Linked DNA regions of Drosophila melanogaster. The protein of the gene in region 4 purifies or fractionates together with the protein of the main gene of each other region. This does not show direct contact. Each region holds a gene or a part of one and is shown on either strand. Other genes may lie near its edges. The genes, in order: JIL-1, Clamp, upSET and msl-3.

Evidence for each region.
Region 1: the proteins of msl-3 (region 4) and JIL-1 purify together in Drosophila melanogaster (affinity purification with western blotting; 4 studies listed by BioGRID, with this or other methods). This does not show direct contact.
Region 2: the proteins of msl-3 (region 4) and Clamp purify together in Drosophila melanogaster (affinity purification with mass spectrometry, with the first as the bait; 2 studies listed by BioGRID). This does not show direct contact.
Region 3: the proteins of msl-3 (region 4) and upSET purify together in Drosophila melanogaster (affinity purification with mass spectrometry, with the first as the bait; 2 studies listed by BioGRID). This does not show direct contact.

What each region holds. Positions count from the first base shown.
Region 1 is NT_037436.4:11,090,147-11,094,710, reverse strand, and holds the start of JIL-1 (JIL-1 kinase), read left to right. Parts: upstream 1-1,517; 5' UTR 1,518-2,439; intron 2,440-2,854; exon of another isoform or gene 2,855-2,938; 5' UTR 2,939-3,071; coding exon 3,072-3,813; intron 3,814-4,564. Other genes in the region: CG46439 (uncharacterized protein), read left to right, coding at 1-218; Iyd (iodotyrosine deiodinase), read left to right, coding at 360-516, 572-1,278. UniProt on the Drosophila melanogaster protein: Phosphorylates 'Ser-10' of histone H3. May regulate gene expression by establishing or maintaining the structure of more open chromatin regions. Also required for normal polytene chromosome structure, for oogenesis and for viability throughout development.
Region 2 is NT_033779.5:22,165,175-22,171,093, reverse strand, and holds Clamp (Chromatin-linked adaptor for MSL proteins), read left to right. Parts: upstream 1-1,950; 5' UTR 1,951-2,206; intron 2,207-2,450; 5' UTR 2,451-2,558; coding exon 2,559-2,714; intron 2,715-2,773; coding exon 2,774-2,974; intron 2,975-3,027; coding exon 3,028-3,457; intron 3,458-3,517; coding exon 3,518-3,791; intron 3,792-3,840; coding exon 3,841-4,044; intron 4,045-4,106; coding exon 4,107-4,542; 3' UTR 4,543-5,374; downstream 5,375-5,919. UniProt on the Drosophila melanogaster protein: Transcription factor involved in X-chromosome dosage compensation in males, the process by which transcription of the single X chromosome in the male is elevated. Binds to the DNA sequence (GA)n.
Region 3 is NT_037436.4:14,000,115-14,005,148, forward strand, and holds the start of upSET (upSET), read left to right. Parts: upstream 1-2,012; 5' UTR 2,013-2,187; exon of another isoform or gene 2,188-2,265; intron 2,266-3,078; 5' UTR 3,079-3,301; intron 3,302-5,034. Other genes in the region: Nprl3 (nitrogen permease regulator-like 3), read right to left, coding at 1-1,319, 1,379-1,512.
Region 4 is NT_037436.4:7,122,661-7,127,182, reverse strand, and holds msl-3 (male-specific lethal 3), read left to right. Parts: upstream 1-1,649; 5' UTR 1,650-1,760; coding exon 1,761-1,862; intron 1,863-1,979; coding exon 1,980-2,158; intron 2,159-2,224; coding exon 2,225-2,782; intron 2,783-2,840; coding exon 2,841-3,337; intron 3,338-3,392; coding exon 3,393-3,477; intron 3,478-3,532; coding exon 3,533-3,650; 3' UTR 3,651-3,970; downstream 3,971-4,522. Other genes in the region: BBS1 (Bardet-Biedl syndrome 1), read right to left, coding at 1-914, 978-1,257; form3 (formin 3), read right to left, coding at 4,226-4,522. UniProt on the Drosophila melanogaster protein: Component of the male-specific lethal (MSL) histone acetyltransferase complex, a multiprotein complex essential for elevating transcription of the single X chromosome in the male (X chromosome dosage compensation).

The DNA.
Region 1 (4,564 bases), 4.0 Mb from region 4:
AGGTGCACAAGCGCCAATTGGTTCACCAGAAGGCCATTCCACTCAACAATACACGCCGACCGATTCCGCCGCAAAAACGAAAACCGGGTGAGCCCAATCAGATGCTTAAGAATCCAAAATGCATGTCGGATAGGAGTGCCCACGAAAAGGGACAACAGAGGATGTGCGAGCATCACAAGGGCAGCCATTGCACCTACTGCTGCCGGAACAACAACTGAAGTGGAAACCAAAACCCATCCACCAGCATCCATCGCTATCAGCAATAGCCGTGACCCACTTAACCAAGTGATAAGCCAATCCGAGCGCAAAAGCAAAGCCACTTTCTCTCCGTCGCAAAAGCAGTTACATCTTGAAGCACCATGGATGTGGACGAACTGATCAGCAGCTCCAAGCTACTCAAGCATTGGCCAAGTTTATTTATCACTCTGGCGCTGATATGGATCGTAAAAAGATTGTTTTTTAAAGGGAATCGCGTATTAAAAACATATAATTTAGATGAACAAGTCGAGGAGGAGGGTAAGTTTTAAGATTATCCACGGTGAACATAAAGCTATTCTATTCTATTTTCCAGTTGAACACTTTGCCGATCTTGGCGATGAACTGCAACCGGCTCTGGAGGATAAGCCCCATGTGCCCTTCGTTCCCGGCCAGAATCTCAACCCTAATGGAGCCAAACGCTTATATGAACTCATGCGTGGACGCCGTAGCATTCGCTCCTTTAATAGCCATCCCAAACCGGATCTCAGCGTGATAGAGGACTGCATTCGGGCGGCGGGAACAGCTCCCAGTGGCGCACACACAGAACCCTGGACGTACTGCGTCGTACAGGAGCCGGAACTCAAGCGATCCATTCGGGAAATTGTGGAACAGGAGGAGCTGGTCAACTACAGCCAGAGGATGCATCCGCAGTGGGTCACCGATCTGCGACCCCTGCAAACCAATCATGTCAAGGAGTATCTCACCGAGGCGCCGTACCTTATACTGATCTTCAAGCAGACCTATGGATTGTCGGAGAATGGAAAGCGAATGAGGAGGCATTACTACAACGAGATATCCACTTCGATTGCGGCCGGTATCCTTTTGTGTGCCCTTCAAGCGGCAGGACTCGCATCGCTGGTCACCACTCCTTTGAACTGCGGTCCAGCCTTGAGAAACCTGCTCGGGCGACCCGTCAATGAAAAATTACTCATCCTACTGCCCGTTGGTTATCCGAAAGATGGATGCACAGTTCCCGACTTGGCGAGAAAGAATTTGTCAAATATTATGGTTACTTTTTAAGGTTTATTTACGTCCGTGCAGCTTACGAAATAGTTCAATAAAACCAAACTAAAATTTATGGTAATTCTTATATTTTTTCTATTGATAAACGAAATTTTCACATTTTCCTTAAATTTATTCTTCATTATAATTGTTAATCAAAATATAATATTCTTAAATATTTGAAACGATAGTCTCCACCATCCCTGCCAACCGATATACGGCTGCTTTCCAGCACCACGCTTTTTGGCCTCTTGTCAACACTATCGATAACGATAGCTACGGTAAGTGACACAAAAGCAAAGGGAAAATTTCTACGTGCGGTTCGTGTGCTGTGTGTTGAAATTACAAATAGCCAATTATCCGGCATTAATCGTTTTAGGGCTCTCTCGATTTTAATTGTATTATATTGTACTATAATACAGATATAAACCCGATTTGATCGAGTGTAACGGAAATCGACGCGATTCCCATCAAGGTGGTCCGTACCTAATAAGTGTTCACGAATGAGAGCAAAGCAGATGGCGGAGAGCGTCCTGCGTTTCAATGTGTGTGTGCGTAAACGAGTAGAAAGCGGCGGTAAAAACCTTCTCGTGTAACACAAAACAAATTATACAAAACATTCAATCTCAATATCAAAACGTTACTGTATTGTCTATTGAAAAACAAGTACAAGCGTACGCAGGGAAATTGGAAAATCCATTGAAAATCGAGAGCAACAGTCGCCGGAGCGGAATCAGCGGACGAAAACAAAAACGCTTTAAAAACGCAGCCGATACAGAAAGTGCCAGCGTGTGAGTGTGCATATGTGTACGTAGTTGTGGGCAAAGAGAACGGTAAAGAATAAGAAATCGAAAAAAAAAAATAAAAAACTAACTGTGGAAGTGAAAAATGCGCGACTGATAAAGATTGTGATAATCACGGCATAATATAACAAGCAAAAAAGAAGAATGAAAAGAAACCGCAACCGAATTGGTTGAATAATATTTAAGCCAACGCCAGTGCTGCATAAATCGGTGCACATTATCATTGGAACGTTCAGTGTTGCACATCGCTACCGCCCCACGCATAATCCAACACTCTTCCCCCTCCCCATCCAGATCCACCCACTCACACACACACACACTCCGATTCGGATTTCTTCGTCTGCATTATAATATTGCGCTTATAATCTTTCGCGAGGTGAGTCGAACTCCCAAATAGTGTTCTATTCAGAAATGAGTTTCCCCATCCAATTGTCCGCTAACAGCGGGAAAATTACTCCCGCCTGCGTTGAAACTGTACCATATTGTGGATGAAGAAATGGGATAGAAATGGGCAATGGGCATTGGGAAGGTACGGTGAAGATTGCCTAAATAGAACACAATAAGAAACAGCTATGTTCAAAACATCTTGCGGAATAAATTTCAACAATTCAGTTATTATTTATTTAGTATTTAAAATGTGTGAACTGGAACATTTATATCGTACATGTTGTCTATGCATTGTTGAACATCCATGAATAGAAAAAACTAATTCAGTTTCTAATTAAAAATACTACAACAATAAAACAGTCTAGCTAGCCAAAATGACAACTTTATGTCAGTACTCATATAAGAATGTGTCAAAAAGTTTAATGATTGTCTACAAATTGTTAGCGATTTTCGAAAAAATGTCTTTACTTTGATTTCTGTTTTTCCAGCTCAACGATGCGCCACGATCAGTCCCTGGACCTTTTTATTTTTATTTGTTAATTCCTGGAATATCCATCGATTACGTGAGGAGCACGTAGAGCATTATTAAAGGCATAGGATCTTTTACGGAAGAATCTAGCCATGAGTCGCTTGCAAAAGCAAAACTACGAGATCTTAAGCGGTACAAGTACGTCGCGCCTCAAGAATCATCAACATCCCCGTGAATCGGAGTCACTAGCCTACGAGGAGCCAGATCAAATGGTGCGGAATCATCTAAATGGCCAGCTGGTAGCCAATGGCAATGGCAAAACGCGAAAGAATAGCAATTCCGAAACGATGACCAATGGGAAAAAGTCCAAACTGAATACGGAGGGATCCGGCTCTGGTTCTGGAAAGACCTTGAACTACAATAATAATAACAATAACAACAACAGCATCAGTGCCACCAACGGTCAGTACACCAATAGCAGCAGCAAGACCACTTCAGCATCTGCAAGGGATTACACTTACCGCGAGACCATATCACCGCCCACACCTCCATCCCCGCCCACCACAAATGTGGCGGATATTGTTTGCATATCGGATGCGGAGAGCGAGGACGGACGCGATCCCGAGCGGGAGTACTACGACCAGGACATGGAGGAGGATGAGCCGAACGGGATAGAGATCGATGAATCCAGCTCCAGCTTGTCCAAGGCCAAGTCCAACAATGCAGCTGCAGCGGCGGCGGCGGCGGCTGCAGCAGCGGCAGCAGCAGCCTCGAAGGCCTCCTCGTCGACCACGCCCTCCTACGCCATGCCCACCAGCAATAGTACACCCCTTGATCTGGACAATGAGGCCCATCAACGGGACCTGGAGGCGGTCACCGATCTGAAATACTACGGTGAGTCATTCCACTCAATGATAGTGATAAAGAAGACCGGGCCAACTGCAAGCACAAGCTAGATAAGAAAATTTGTTACAAGTTGCAGGTCAGGATGTACTTATGTTAAATATGATAGTTTAATAATTCCGTCCATATCAAATTAAACCGCAACTTCTTCCCTGTGAATATTTCATGCCATTTTAAGGCAGCTGCCACAGAGCTTATCAAACATGGTAGTGTGGTGGAATAATTGATAACTTTAACCGGGTGGATGTCTCAAGGTTTTATTGAAATGTCGGCAGAGGGTGGCTGGTCAATGCCAGATGAAGTGCCGTCTCTATCGTTCTTTGTTAAAGTGGAGCACATGCATTTAACCTTGACACGATTACCCAGAAAACTCAACCCGGCTTTGTTCGCTCTTTGGGCCAAATCCAAAACTACTGACCTCCCCTGAAATCGCCCAACCTCGCCGTACTCACCTCTCACCACACTCTACATACATATACACAAAGCAGACAGAATATCCACCACCCAAATGTCTAATTTGATAACCGTGGGTCGAAAACCTATTGTTGCTGCTTGTTATTTGTTAAATTTGACACTTTTCGGTTGCATTTTTAAATAAATATTATTTACTGAGGACATTGGTCTGGATTTTGGTGTGGAAAGTAACACCTTTTTGAAGTAAACGTTTTTGTCAAGAGGTTTTCACAACAGCTGTTTATAAATCGAATAAAATAAATCTAGATAAAAACTAAACCTTCTCTAG
Region 2 (5,919 bases), on a different chromosome or scaffold from region 4:
TTACTCTTAACTCATTCTTAACATAACGGTTCAAAAACATAATTTCGGTTACATTCAAATACTGCGTTAGATCTACTCAATCTCCGACATACATATGTATATTAAGCCGATATAAAACACATGCGGTTTGAACACAGAATAAAAGCGGGAAAGATATATATCTTAATGTAAACACATAATTAATTTCTAATTTCTTTTACATCACAAGCAGCTAAACAGATATACATATATTTCATTTAAGTTCTATTACCACCAAATTATTTTTAAATAAGAGAGAACGCTTAAGCAAATTTGTTGGACATTGAGATACCGTTTACACAGCCAGAAGGAATGCAAAATATAAACAATGAAAACAAAAAGTTTTGGGTGTTGAATTGGTCGTGGCGAAATAGTTCAAGCATATCAATACAAATTATCAAGAAAAACAACTTAATTTTTTAAGATAAAGAACTTTTCAAAAGTATACGAACAGAAGGATTGGTAGCCGAAGACAAGAATATAAGCACGTTATAATGCCCGAAACGCTTCCTTCCGTTCCTTCTGACATAATTTTTTCCAAAACCATACACATAATCGTTCGAAATCACTACCATAAAACTTGTCTTTTCATTCCTCAAAAATAGCTAATAAATAAGCTTACTATCTCAAGACATTCCCTTAAATGCTGTTGTCATAAAAAACATTTGACCACGTTGGTTGCCTTGCCAACACTAATAAATTTTTGAATTTGGGCGCCGAGAGTATTTAAATCTTTTGGAAGCTGAAATTTTCCAACACCAAACAGGACTCGCAGAACTTTGTTCATCCAGGATCTTAAGCTCAAAACCAAAACGTATGCGAATTAAAATTGCTGCTATTTAATTATTTAAAAGAATAGTTTTTATTTTTTATTAATTAATATTTATTCGGCGACAGACTTCCTCACTTATACTATTACAAGACACTTTATTACTAGCTTATCTTTGATTTGAAGCTGTTCACGATCTCGTCCCGACTCAGACTGATCTTCTAAATCTTAATCCTAATCCACTCAACCTCGGCCAGAAGCTTTTCTTTAGGATTCTCTTAAGCTTTTTAATATGTTTAGGATAAAAGCTTTACACTGAAATTATTTCCCAGCATTGTGAAATTCAAATTTGCTGACTGACGCAGTTTGACTGAAGCGCAATAAGTTGACCATGGCTTGGTCTCCAAGTGGAAGTTGTGTTTACTTTAAGTTTGGTTATATATCGGGTGGCTAAGTGTTGGCGTCAAAAACAAGGGCAAAGGCAACGCTGCTGAGATTGGAGTTAGAAATTTGTTTAGCTTTTGGTAGAGTGCTATATTTATGGGTTGGATAACTTGCGTCACTACGTGGGGCATAAAAAATCTGTTGTCCCTTAACTCACTCCCCTACATCGAGTGATAAAGATAAATAGGAATTCCTAAAAGATTTAAGTATACAAAAATAAGTACGTTTTATATGGAATCTTTAAGAATTAGTTAAAAGTCGAGTGCCTGTAAAATTTCGTTATCTTATGGAATTTGTTATCAACCATGGCCCATGATCTTACCAAAGACACTAGAATATTCTAGTGTCTTTGCTCTTACAGTGTTACCTTAGCTTGTAGAATATTAAAAGTTAAGTCTCAATAAATTTAAAACGTGTTTTTAACGCAGCTCAGCACAAGATATTTCTTTTCGAAAGCTAGTAACAGCCAGATTCTACTGATCGTAGCGTTTGCCTTTTGAGTAAGAGACAACATGTAAGACAACATGTGATGTAATCCAAATTACGAAGTACAAAACGTATATAAAAATATTTATGTTTTCTGAGTTATCGAATTAGTGTAAAAGGGCTCTAAGAAATCCTACCAGTTCTTTGTGAATTTTGGTATATTTTCGAGGGAAATGATTATTTTCATGAGTCGTGAAACGGTCACACTTTTAAAAAGTAAAACTGCTGCTCGTCTGCTCTATCTCTGAGCGTTGTTCTGTCTCCATCTCTCTTTAGCAATCGTAAAAAATGATGGACTGAAAGTTAAAGTGCTGGAATTTGTTAGAAAAAGATAACACTATTTAAATATATATCTTGTATTATTCCAAACAATATATCGTTAAAATACGTTATCAATTCACGAATACAATTTTACACCACTCAAATCTTAACAATTTTATTGTGGAGCAGGCAGTGCGCAATTTATGGTGTGGTCCGGTTGCGTAAAAGGTAATTTTAATAATGAAAAAAATAACACATGTAGTGTAATATTGTATGATAAAAAAACAAATGTGCTAGACTCCAGTTTAGATACTAGAGTCTGTTAATGTAAAGAGCTGCTGCATTAAACGTTCGTCTGTGTATGTTTTGTGTCGCGTATGTACATATTTTTTGTCTCACCGTCGCCATTTTTAATCAGTCGTTTTCGCTGGGTTCCTATGGCACTATATTCATCTCTTTTTCTCTTTTATAGAATTAGCGTCGCGTGATGCAGTGTTGAAAAGCGCGACAGAGCTGCAGTAAATAAAAGGCCAACGTATGATAAAAGTTAATTTTTGAGCATACTCGAATTTTGGGGACCATGGAAGACCTTACCAAAAACATTATCTTCACAAATGCCATTAATGGGCAACCGGCCACAATTCAATACCAGACGGCGGATGGCACCATTCTTAAACAGCCCAAAATAGAGGGCCAAAAAACGGAGCAGCAGCCTACCTTCTATTACACGACAAATGTAAGTAGTTTACTTACTATATGTTATTGGTGCTGACTTTTCATATTGTCTTCACATAGGGCAATGGCGGTACCGTCAATCTCGCACAGCTGGCCACCACAGACGACAATAAGACGTGTTATATAGCCCAGCCCGTGGGCGGATACAATTACGCCCTGGTCAACGGAATGCCTCTCAATCAGGGTGCAGCTCTTGGCATCGCCACGGTAGACGCACAAGGCCGCATCCAGATTGTCAATCAAAATAAGCCAATTGCAGCTGTATGTAAAAGGAAGACTCGTTAAGCAAAGCCTAAAGATTTTCTTCTTTGCAGAACACCATATCCAACATAAGCTTTAAGTGTGACGTATGTTCAGATATGTTCCCTCATTTGGCACTTCTTAATGCTCATAAGCGGATGCATACAGACGGGGAACAGCAGCAACAACAGCAACATAACGCCCAAGCGGGCGGCGATTCTATTGCCGTGGTCAGCGCGCAGGGGCTTGTGCAGGCACAGAACATTATTGGAAATGGTCAGATGGGCCAGATACAGATTGTGTCTTCTGACACGCTGGAGCCGGTTCAGCAATCTGTAATGCAGCAGCAGCAACATGAGTCAAAGGCAAGCAAGTGCATAAATTGTGGAAGCTCTATGCTGCAGCAGTCCAAACGCAAAGGTCCAAAGCAGGTGCGCTGCGAGTCCTGCATGCAGGCTGAACAAACAGCGCAACAACAACAGCAGCTCTTCGTCGCCCAAGACGGTAGTTGTGAAAGATTACATTCTAAATGGACCATAACTAACTTCATCGCATCTTTTGCAGGTCAAATGGCGCATCCCGTGCAAATCATATCAACGACTCCTCAGGCCCAAGCACAACTTCAGCAAATTGTGGCTGCACAGACTGGCGGTACAACGCCAAAGCGAGAGGCGAGCAGTGGGTCTGGCCATCATCCTGTGAAAAAACGAAATTCCCAGCAGATGACCAAATGCCAGAAATGCAATGGCTCCGGCGTGGTGCTAGTGGGGCAGCACTCCCATGCTTCACACAGCGGGGTGGGCGGATCGGTAAAGCAATCAGTTACTGTTAAAACTGAGTGAGTATAACATGAAATTGCAACCTTATCCTACGCTAACAAAACCAAGGTGTTTGTCCTGCAGAAATCCGTCCAAACCCTTCAGTTGTAATATATGTGGTGGTCTGTTTTCACGTTACTCAAGTCTGTGGTCCCATAAAAAGCTGCACAGCGGTGAAAAAAACTACAAGTGCAGCATCTGTGGATTGGCCTTTGCTAAAGCCGTATATTTGAAAAACCACGCGCGCATTCATACAGGCGAGAAACCCTATAAGTAATACCAATCTTCTACTTGAAATTATACTCTTTATACTAATTACCGTTATCTTTACATAGATGCCAAACCTGCGGCATGCAGTTTTCACAGTCACCACACCTCAAGAACCATGAACGCACGCACAGTGGCGAGCGGCCCTATGTGTGCGGTGTTTGCGACAAAGGATTTGCGCGCCACGCTACTCTTTGGAATCATAGGCGCATTCACACGGGCGAAAAGCCATACAAGTGTGAAATTTGTGGATCGGCCTTTTCTCAGGCGGCGCACCTTAAGAACCACGCAAAGGTGCACTCCGGAGAAAAACCCTACAAGTGCGAGATTTGCTCTGCAGCATTCGCTGATCGTTTTGCACTCAAGCGTCACCGCGGCATACACCAAAAGTACGGCCAAACTGCTCCTCGCCAGACCAGCAGCGATGGGATGATAGTGCATAAGCAGGAGATTCCTGACATGGAGGATGAGGCCCAACAGGAAGTGATTATCGGTGGGTTATAGATAGTTTAAATGCAGAGGTGACAGGCAGCTTAATGAAGTCACAGACACTGGAGTCCACCCTGCTTAGCTTCAGTTTATCGAGCGTTACTATGATCATCTGCCTCCACCTATGCTAGCCCCAGAACCATCTCTAAGGGCGCATATATCACCACAATGATATTAAAGAATAGAAAACGATGTTCCATCGTTAACACTTCAGCTGCATATGTCCTTTCTCCACTTTCATGTGGGATCTTCAAAAATGGGCGAAACCCAAAAACGCTTTTTACGATAAGCATACAAATGAACCTAATTTATTTGATAGCTTGTATAATATACTTAAACATCTTTAAACATTAAACGCATATATGTATAGGCATCGTATTTATAAGTGTTATAGGCTATTCTCTTATACAAATTGTAGGTGTAAAATATGGATTTATTAGGTGACGATACGAGCAAATCCGATACGTATGAATATGCACAGGTAATAAACACACACATATAAGTTGAAAGTTGTAAGCTTAAATATATTTTAATTAAATCTATCTAATATAAGTATGTATTAAATAATGCATAAAATCAAATAAATATTTGAATAAAATACAATTTTTTACTAACCTACTCCATTTGCAAGTGCCTTAACGAAGAATAGAGGGATCCCAGAAATAGGCACATTTTCCACCGTTTTCGACGTCTTATGCGTTTTTTTTTTATTAATGTAAGCACCATTTCACTTTAAATATAATTTTTTTAGTGTTTTGCCACGTTCATCTTATTCTTACGTGAAGCTATAAGGTCAGTAAATTTTAATGTTGGCAATAATATAATTAATAAATACACAAAACTTTAAATATTCATAGACGTAAAAGAGTAAAATAAAGTTAAAATTTATCGAAAATTAGATGATGTGAATTACTGCTGTCTTTTCAAAAAAATTAGAGCTGTTGATTTGTAAAATGGACGCACTCTTTTAAACTTCTTATATTTATATTTTTGCGTATTATCTGTTAAAAATAAAATATTTTTACATATTTAAAGTAAAGTTGTGAAGTGGCAACGAATTTTTTACAATAATCAAAACCAAGTGTTTAAGAATTAGGATTCATGGCTTGTATAATAAAGCTTTAAATTACTAGAATTCGCCATCAGTTAAATCAAGATAAATACGTATACGTATACATTTGCGAACATGGACTTTGCTTAGGGTCCATTTTTGAATTTGCGGTCATTACAAACTTATATTCATATGTATATAGGATTATTCAAGAATGAATACATTTTAGTTACACGGGATTGTAGTTTTGTTTCTTTTAATGTCAACTGGTTTGCATGCACTATGCAATCATGATTATATAGGAAGATCTGTGTCTGTGGTTGGTCCACTTTTTATTTAAT
Region 3 (5,034 bases), 6.9 Mb from region 4:
AGGCCAGTGATGAATGGTCCTCGGACGCCTCACGACGATGTCCGCCCACCAATACCGCTGGCACTGGCAACGGATGACTGGACATGCTAAGCATGGAGCCATGCAACTCGTCCGCATCTGGTTCTTGGTCTCCTTCTTCATCGCTAATGGCATCCCTTAGATGGTTGCTGCAGGAGGCCGAATCTCCGAATTCATCCTCGCTGGGCATAAACTGAACGTACGTGTGCAACTGCATGAGCAAATGGTGCTGCAGCATCCAAATCACCATTTGTGCGAGGATACCCTGTCGCGCTGGCTGCTGCAGTGGCGTGGTTAAGTGTCCAATTGAAGTGGGCAATGAAAAATCGGAGATCACCTCGAACAGCGACATACCGGCAAAACGGGCCGAGAACTTCTCCACCAGGTGGGACTTGGTGTGCAATGGTGCATCCGGCGCGATCACATAGACATTTGTCTCGCAGAGTGGATAAATAATAGTTGCCTTAGCCCAGTAGACCAAATGCGAGACGAGCTTATAAACATGCTCGATACTCAAGTCTGCATTGGAGGACATGCTCTGCAGACTGATCAGTGGGTCGTAGACGTCGACTAGCTGCCATAGCATGCGTGCCCCAGTCGGTGGAACGCAGTCCAACAATTCGGCAAAGTCGACCAGCAGCAACATGCCATGATAGGGCTTCAGTGCACGAAGGCACCGATCTATGGTCTCTGGATCCACCATGCTGCCCTTCTTATGGAGCTGGTGTGCCTTAGCGGGCAGACAGAAGCACAACGTTAGGTTGTGATTCAGCGAGGTACTCAGCAGTCCAGTGGTGCATAGATCATGGAAGATGGAGCGCAAGGCCTGTGCCAAGCTGCAGCGCTCTGCAATCAGCTCCAGTGTGCGTTCCAGCGGCTGTTGCTGCTGCTCGTCGTGTGTGCGAGCCATTTGAGCCGTCTGCTCGGTGAGATAGCCACTGCGCTGCTCCTCGAACTTCAGCGCCAGTCCAAGGCGCTTGCTCAGTTCGTGGTAGCACTTAACAATCGAGTAGCTGGCCTGTGCATGCAGCGCAAAAACAATGTTGATGAGCATCTGTTGCTTGGCCATTGGACCACTTCTCTGCTCCTTTTGCGGTATCAGAGTGGGATGACTGACAAAGCGTACGTCGTTCAGTTTGAGTTCAAACTTTTGGTTGCATAGCTGTGGTTTAACAGCAAACAGAGCGGACAGGACCTCATCTGCGAATCCCTGCAGTTGTCCTTGGCTCTTGGCAGCACCCAAGTGGGTGGGTGTCTGCAGCAGATCGTCCGTATTGGCCACGGCATAGGGATTGCGCTTTCTGTGATTGAATAAATCGGTATAGTCAAGCTGAGTGCCCTTTGAATTAATAGGTAGTACCTGGACTTCCGCTGCTCGTCGTTGGCCACCTCCGTTTGGCCGAGAGTCTGGTACGGATACCTGTACAGTAACCGATCCCCCTTGCTATCGAAGTAAACCAGGATTACGGCCAGGGGATTCACATTAGTTTCCATGGCACACAGACACTTCCCCTTTTATGTAAATTAAAATATGAACATTTGCATTATCAACTGGGGTCAGGGTCAACAAATAGTTGGCTATGTTTTCAAAAATACTTTATAAATCGTAGTTTGCTACAGAAACTACCTCAACAACTCTTTATTTATTTATTAGTACCTCAATTTGACTTCATTGAGAAATGGAAGCAAAGTAAATAAATGTAAAATATAAAATATATTTACAGCAGTGTGGCTCTCTTTTAGTTTGCATAAAATACCAAAAACTTATTTAAAATAGTAGTCATGTCAGTTTTCATTTTGCAGGCGAAACAATAATATAAATGCAACGCAATGGAATTTTTTTAAATCGTTTAAATTTACCATAGATACCTTAGATAATATATTCAAAAACTAAAAAATACTAAACGAAAAACGGTCTTACTATATAAATAAATATATATCGGCAAGGCTAATAGTATAGGATCCCTGGTCGAGCGATAACGATCTATCGCTCCGCTGTAGTGTGACCGTCTTCGGTTGGTCAGTCTCTAATTTTTTAGAAGCGGAAAGTTGTGAGCAAAACGTGTGGAAATTGTGCTCGAAACGTCAACAAAAAATTTGTGAAAATAACTGGGAGCGTAGTATGCGAACGCGGCAATCGCAGAACTATGAAATTCCCCTGTGAAACATGTTAGTTTGGCTGTAAAAGCACTTTTAAAAATGACGATTTCTTATTAGCGTGTTGGAAAAGAGGAAAACACACACATTGTGAGAGGCAAAATACGTGCGGATCGTAGGTGGGAGCGAGACGACGCTAAACGTGTACTAGCCGCGGTCTATATATACATATATATAATATTTGTGTGAGTGTAGGAGAGGTATAACTAATTCTACAAAAAAATATAGTTTACTTGGCTGAGTGGTTCGCTTCTGAATTAGTTTCGCACTCTTCGGCAGTATGGTGGCCAATAAGTTAATTTCAACTAATTGTCATTTACTTGTAGGTTTGTTTTTCTACTATGTCTTCGTTTCTGTATCTATTCCTTGTATTTTGGAAAATAGGATTAATAAGTGCCTAAAATGTAAATAGCTTGTGGTTAAATAGTTAATAACATAACTATTTTACTTTTTGTGTATATGTGCGCCAACATCCGTGTGTATAGATTTTACACATACCTACGTAGAAAGGCATGCACAGATATACGTTTGTGTGGGTATCAACGAATAGGCGGAAAGGCGAAATCGAAATATGTACGTACAGCATTTCGGAATGGCCAGGCGCAGTAGTAATAGGCTAAACAGGGAAACAGCGCAACACAAAAACCAAGAAGAAGAAGCAGGGCAGGCGAACAAAATAAAATAGGCGATAATAGTCAGTTGGCATGTCTTGTCCATAGGCTAGAACGGTCACACTAGCTATATGGTCTGCTCAAACCGACTGGTCGTCTCGCTCTTACACACGTCTTAAGCAATCCCAGTTTATGTGTTTTCCTGCGCGTTTTGTCTTCTGCTTCTTGTGCCATACGGTATTAATAATAATAAAATTGATTAATCAAAGTAGAAACATTTTAATTTGTGCAGGTAGTAAACGTTCGAAACAACGTCGCGCCATCACTTAAATGCTGCAAATCAACAATGTGCAACGGAACAAAAAAGAACCAGTGTTAAAGTGTATACAAATTTAATTTGTATTTATAAAATTGAAATATAAAGTTTCGAAATAAAAAATAAACCACGTAGCTTGTCGTTAAATTAAATTAAGTTGTGCAAAATGAAGTGAAAATTCAAAATAACAGAGTAAACGGTGAGTAAAACTAGTGTGTGTGTTTGTATGTGAGTGCGCGCCCAAATCGGAAATATTTTGAATCGAAAAATATACAGTCGAATGGGTTATACATATCTATTGGATCACATATATATGAAATTCAGATTTTATTTTGAGTCGAGCCAGTTAAATAAATATTTCATTTGTTGATGCGTCGATTTTGTATGGTTTTTTTTTTTGCATACTGTGTGTCGCCATATTTGATTGCATATTCTTTTTTCAACTAACCGTCAGTATAGCGTGCTCGCTCGCACAGCTTTGCGGGTTCATTTGTTTTGCTTTCGATTCCGTTTTGTGCAACGTGAAGGTAGATGTGCGTATTATGCCCCTCGCACAGAGTTGCCAACCCGAAGCAATTGTTTTGTTAAATTTCAAGTTGTTTTTAGTTTGTTTTGCTCGAGTTTCTAAGGAGATTATCTAAATCAGTATTAAAATCATATTTCGATTTGGCACACCCCTCCGCATTTGGATTGCAATGTGTATGCCGTGCAGTGTTTTTGTTGTCTCTACCAAAATTTTGACATGCGCATCAGCTAGTCGGAAAAACTTAACAACAAATCGACCGCAAAGTGAAATTAAAGTTGATGAGAATTAGTTGAACGATATCGACGACGCCATGTTGTTCCCATTATCCAGAATGTTAGCACAGAGCTATATAGTTTTTATTTTATTTTCTTTCGCCCTGTTTTCGTCAAACTTTTTATTGCGTGCTCCAGCGTTTACACGCCTGTACGCCGTGAAGTTGGCCGCAGTTAACATAGCTAAGTGTTAGTGTGTGTGTGGGGAGAGCTATGGTGGTCTCGCTCTCGCTTACAGGCATTGCTCGAATGTTCCTGTTCTGCTCTTTGCGCATACGTGATTTTTGCAATTGTTATTTATGCCTTGTGCTTTGTACGCGCGAATTTTCGCCACAAAATGAAAGCAAAAGTTGATAGACAACTTTTTGCCTGCGCTCGGCTTTCGTTATTTTCTGCGCAGCGCAGACAAGACCATCGTCAAAATATTATTTCGCGAAAGCTAAGCCATTCGATAATTTCAAAGGTTGTCGCGGAACGAAACCAAACCGCCACAACCCCCTAAAACCACCTCCCAACCCCACAGATTTTTTTAATGGTGTAATATCCATAATAAAATCCCATGCAGTCTCAATTCTTGATTAGTAATTGACCGAATTAGACGGACCAGAACTAGCGAGCAAGTGAATTAAAATAAGACGCAATTAAAGTTGACACTTTGTAGCTGGTATGCAAAAACTAAAACCCATTTTACGCTTGGCGACTGTTTCAATGAAAGTACAGCCAAAGCAATGCCCCTGATATTGTGCAGTCACGTAGTCCATTGGTCAACAAGCTAATATGAGCAGCATTACTATTTTTAATTGTAGGTTCATTTTTATTCCGTAGATCACAATAGGAGTCTTTCTCTTTTCGACTCACTCGTTTAGATGTGTGCGTCTGCGAGCCTCGATAAGCTTTGTATTTGTTCTACTTCATCTAGCGATGCAACAAAAGCCATAGCAACAAAAAGAAATCCCCAACAAAAACGACACGAAAGCAGTGGCGGATTAAAAATCCTGCTTGCGGGGAAGCTCTCGGAATTTAAAGAAAACAGCAAACAAAACTTAATTCTTTCGATAATATTTTGTTGATATAATGAATTAGATTTTGGCGCATATGTATATCCCAAATGAACCCCCTTGGAACCGCCCCTGT
Region 4 (4,522 bases):
TCTCAGGATCTTAACCACGATACCACCAGATTGAGTAACGAGCGTGAGGACGTGATCCTCCATGCCCATTCGTCCGTACAGCATGGCATCCACCGTCTCCTCGAGAACAAACTCGTCGACGAGGTAGCGCTGCAAATAAAACTTGACCACTCCTCCTCTAAGGGCAATGGCCACCAGGGTGAGTCCCAGATGGGTCAAGGGCAGCGGTAGGAGGCAAACGGGTAGATCGGACATGGGCACCTGGTATAACAGCTTGCCCCGCTTTGAGTAGCACAGATAGCGATTGTCCATGGTGGAGGCGATTATCGTCTGATCGATGGGCAGCAGTAGGAGGCCGGTTAGGGGGATGCCGAGCTTGAAGATCTCCTGTCCCTCCGATTGGCTTTTCCGCAGGAGGTAGACACCGCCATTTCGCGTGGCCACCACGATGCAGAAATCCGTCTCAAAGGTTCCCTGCACGGAGATCAGGCTCGGCACGGCCGTCTCATCATCGCAGGCCTTGCCCTGGTAAACCAAATTGAAGCCCTGCGGCTCCAGGATCATGATGTGCCCGGTATCGGTGGCCAGGACCAAGTGGGACGGGGGATTGGCATCGCTGGAGATGCGCTTTATGCAGCACATGGCCACAATGTTGCCAACCCGACCCACTGGGGAGTCCTTGTGCGTGGCAATGAAGTGCTCCCGCTCCTGCTCGCCCATTTGCAGAAGTCGCTGCGATTTCCGCGACAGCTTGGAGTGGTCTATGGTTTTTAGGGAGTCAAGCAGGGCGGGATGGGCACTTGGCTTCACAACCGGCAGTTTTCGCCATACCTCCAGCTCCAGATCCTCGGAGTCCTGTGCGGGAATCGTGTACTTGAAGTATGGCTTTAGGTGACGATAGAAGAGCACTGACTCAGCGATGGCCACGGCAATTACTGGAAAATTGTATTCATTATGGAATCTAATTTAAAAATATTAAAATGCAACGTTATTTCTACCCGGCGTCTTGGGCTCCGTTTCGTCGATGTAGAGACTTTCAATGGCCGCTGGAATCCCCGGCAGTGGCTGCTCGTGCTTGAGTTTAAGACCACGGAAAACCTTCAGCGTGGCAGTGGGCTCCTCGGCGGCATTGTCCAGTGAAATGTCCGCCGCCAGCAGCCGGACATATCCGTCGCACTGCACGTCGCTCAGGGCCATGCAACTGGTGAGGGTGGTGAGATGCGGTGGAGGAGCCTCCTCCGCCGTGTCCACGTGAAGCCAGTTGGGAGCACCGGCCATGGCAGGATCTTGGTGAAAAATTTGCAGCACAGTGTGAAAACGAACAGGTGATTCAGGACATGCTTTTGTTTTGGTTTTTCTTGTCCTTAGCAACCGGGATGACAGCACATTTTTTGTTACTTATTTGGGTTTTTTCTTAAAAACACAAAATGATCGTCAGCATTATTCTTAAATGCTAACAGGGTAAAGCTACGTATAACTAAAAAATCATTTGGCAAAAGGTAAAACTGTGATCAAATTACTGATGATAGAAAATTTTATTTAAATTGGCCGCCAAAAATGCATTTTGTCTGGTCACACTTAAGGCCGGCCTGCTAAAGACGTGCAAGCATCGACAGTATGTGTTATCGATAAGTGCGAGGGAATATTCGATACCCACGTCAATTGCTTATCGCAAAAAACATTCGTTATAAATATCATCTCAGCGACGCCAGCAGTTGAATTCAATATTTAACATTTTGTATACATAAGTGACTGACTACGGCCCTATTTAACTGCAAGTAATGACGGAGCTAAGGGACGAGACACCGCTCTTTCACAAGGGCGAGATAGTCCTTTGCTACGAGCCGGATAAATCGAAGGCCCGTGTTCTTTACACCAGCAAGGTAAATACACATGCACACACACACACACGCGCGCGCATTGAAATGTCAAGCAAACGTCGTAGGCGAAGTTTTCACAAATGATTTTCCGTTTCCCGCAATTTTCCGTACATGCCGCAGGTGCTAAACGTCTTTGAGCGCCGGAACGAGCATGGCCTGAGGTTCTACGAGTACAAGATTCACTTCCAGGGCTGGCGTCCATCCTACGATCGCTGTGTGCGCGCCACCGTTCTATTGAAAGACACCGAGGAGAATCGCCAGTTGCAAAGGGAGCTGGCCGAAGCTGCCAAGCTGCAAATGTAAGATAACCCCCTAGACATGCGTGGAATACCTCTCTAACGAGTTCCCCCTTCTTTTTCGCACAGTCGTGGTGACTACTCCTACAAGGGCACACCCGATAAGCCATCGGCCAAGAAGAAACGCGGCGGAAAAGCGGCCCACGTTGAGGAGCCAATAGTGGTTCCAATGGACACGGGACATCTTGAGGCGGAGCACGAAATGGCGCCCACTCCACGAGCAGCGGGCAACCGGACGCGGGACAACAGCGGTGGCAAGCGAAAGGAAAAACCCCCGTCCGGAGATGGCCGATTAAAGGGAAACCGGGGCAGACAAACAGAGACCTTTTATAACAATGCCATAAATGATGTATCGGTCTATAACCATGTGCCACAGGAGGATCGCATTATGATGCGAGTCAGCGAGCGATTGCGAGAGCTTATAGAGTACGATCGGAATATGATCAAGGTACTAGGCAAACAGCACGCACTGCCCGCCCGCGTGCCCATCGTGACCATCATGGAAAACTTCGTCAAGCAGCAGGCCGTGGAGCTAGCCATTAGCATTAAACAGGACAGCTCGAGGGCCAGGAACACGCAGAGTCGCAATGCCAGAATGGAGCGGGAATACGATCGCGTTATGTCCACGTTGGTTACCACTCAATATCAGACTTAACAACCCACTTATACTCTTACTTATTAACAGTGTCTGCATGCTGAAGGAGGTGGTAGACGGATTGCGTATCTACTTTGAGTTCCACGTGGATGACCACTTGCTGTATACGGAGGAGAAGGAGTATGTCCACAACTACCTCACAGACGACAACATGCGCAACTGCAGCCTAATATTGAACAAGTCGTACGAGTATATCAATCCCAGCGGTGACACGGAACTGATCGGTCTGGACGGCACGCCAGTGGTAGAAGGGTCGGGCGACACCAATGGACAGATCGGAGTTATTAATATCGGCGGTCCGGAGTACGAGAAGCAGTTGCAAAAATGCCTGCTCTACATTGTTACCGCCAGCGGGAAAAACACTGCGCAGGCCTATGAGAGGACTTCCCCATATACGGCTGCCTACAAACTGCCCGTGGAGATGCGTGGATTTCTGAACGAAACATTCAAGTGGCGGCTTTTGTCAGCGGAATCGCCGCCAGAAAAGTCCATGGTCTTTGGCGCTCCCCACCTGGTTAGGCTAATGAGTATGTACAATCTTTCTTGCATTCTATAACACACATTAATTCATGGTACTTGCAGTTAAAATGCCCATGTTCTTAAACGCATCGCCGATCAGCAACAAGAAGCTAGAAGATCTACTTCCCCACCTCGACGCCTTCATCAAGTAAGTCTAAGACCCCTCCCTAGTCCATCACGAAGCTAATCTGTTGGTTTTTCAGCTACTTGGAGAACCACAGGGAGTGGTTCGACAGGGAAAACTTTGTTAACTCCACTGCCCTGCCCCAGGAAGATCTGCAGCGGGAGCTGTTGGACTCCCTGGATGGGATTGCTGCTTAGCTTTAGTTGATCGTAGTTATCTAGTTTATTTATTATTACGATTAAAGCTTATGCTCTTTTATTTAAAGATTTGTAATTGTCGTTTTGGTTTCTTCAACTACACACTTTGTAAACAACGCACTTCTATAAAAAAGTTTCCTAATGTGATCGTATAATCGAATAATGCCTATAACTATATATGTTAAATATTGAAAATACGATTTTAACATTTTTTTTTGTTTTTTTTTTTTTTTTTGCTTAACCTAAGTTTTAGTTGAGTAGTACATGCTAGTATTTTTGTCATGCCTTGTTTTTTGTGCTCAAATATATTTAAGAGTTGGAAAGTTGTTGTCTTTTGTATTAAGGATTTGCGGACCTTGAGTTGGAATGTGCAGGGAATTCTTAAGATTTGTATAATTTCTCAAAATATTGCAACTGTAACAACTATGTGTGTGCTGATTTGTGTTTCAGATCCTGCTTAGAAATTCGAAATTGTCGCTTGGACGGCTTGGAGTTGGATGCATTCGCGTTTGTAACATGTGTAAACTTGGGACGTTAACTTGGACGATGACTGAACTGGACTGGACTGCCGGCCCTCACTTCTGTCGCTTGGTGGCACTGCTGGCCGTGGGTCGCATGAAGCTGCTCACGGATCGACTGCTGCTAGTGCTCCTCTGCTGCGGACTGGGGTTCGCACTCATCCTGGCCTGCTGCTGCTGGTTCAGGGCATTTTTCACCAGCACCACGCTGCGAGCGGCGCTCATTCGGGACTGTGACTGGGGTTGGGACTGGGACTGGTTTTCCTTAAAACTGGTGCTACCATGGATACTCGATTTCGGAGCCGTGTTGGACATCTTGCTGCGCACCAAGATCACACTGGGTCCCACACTCGA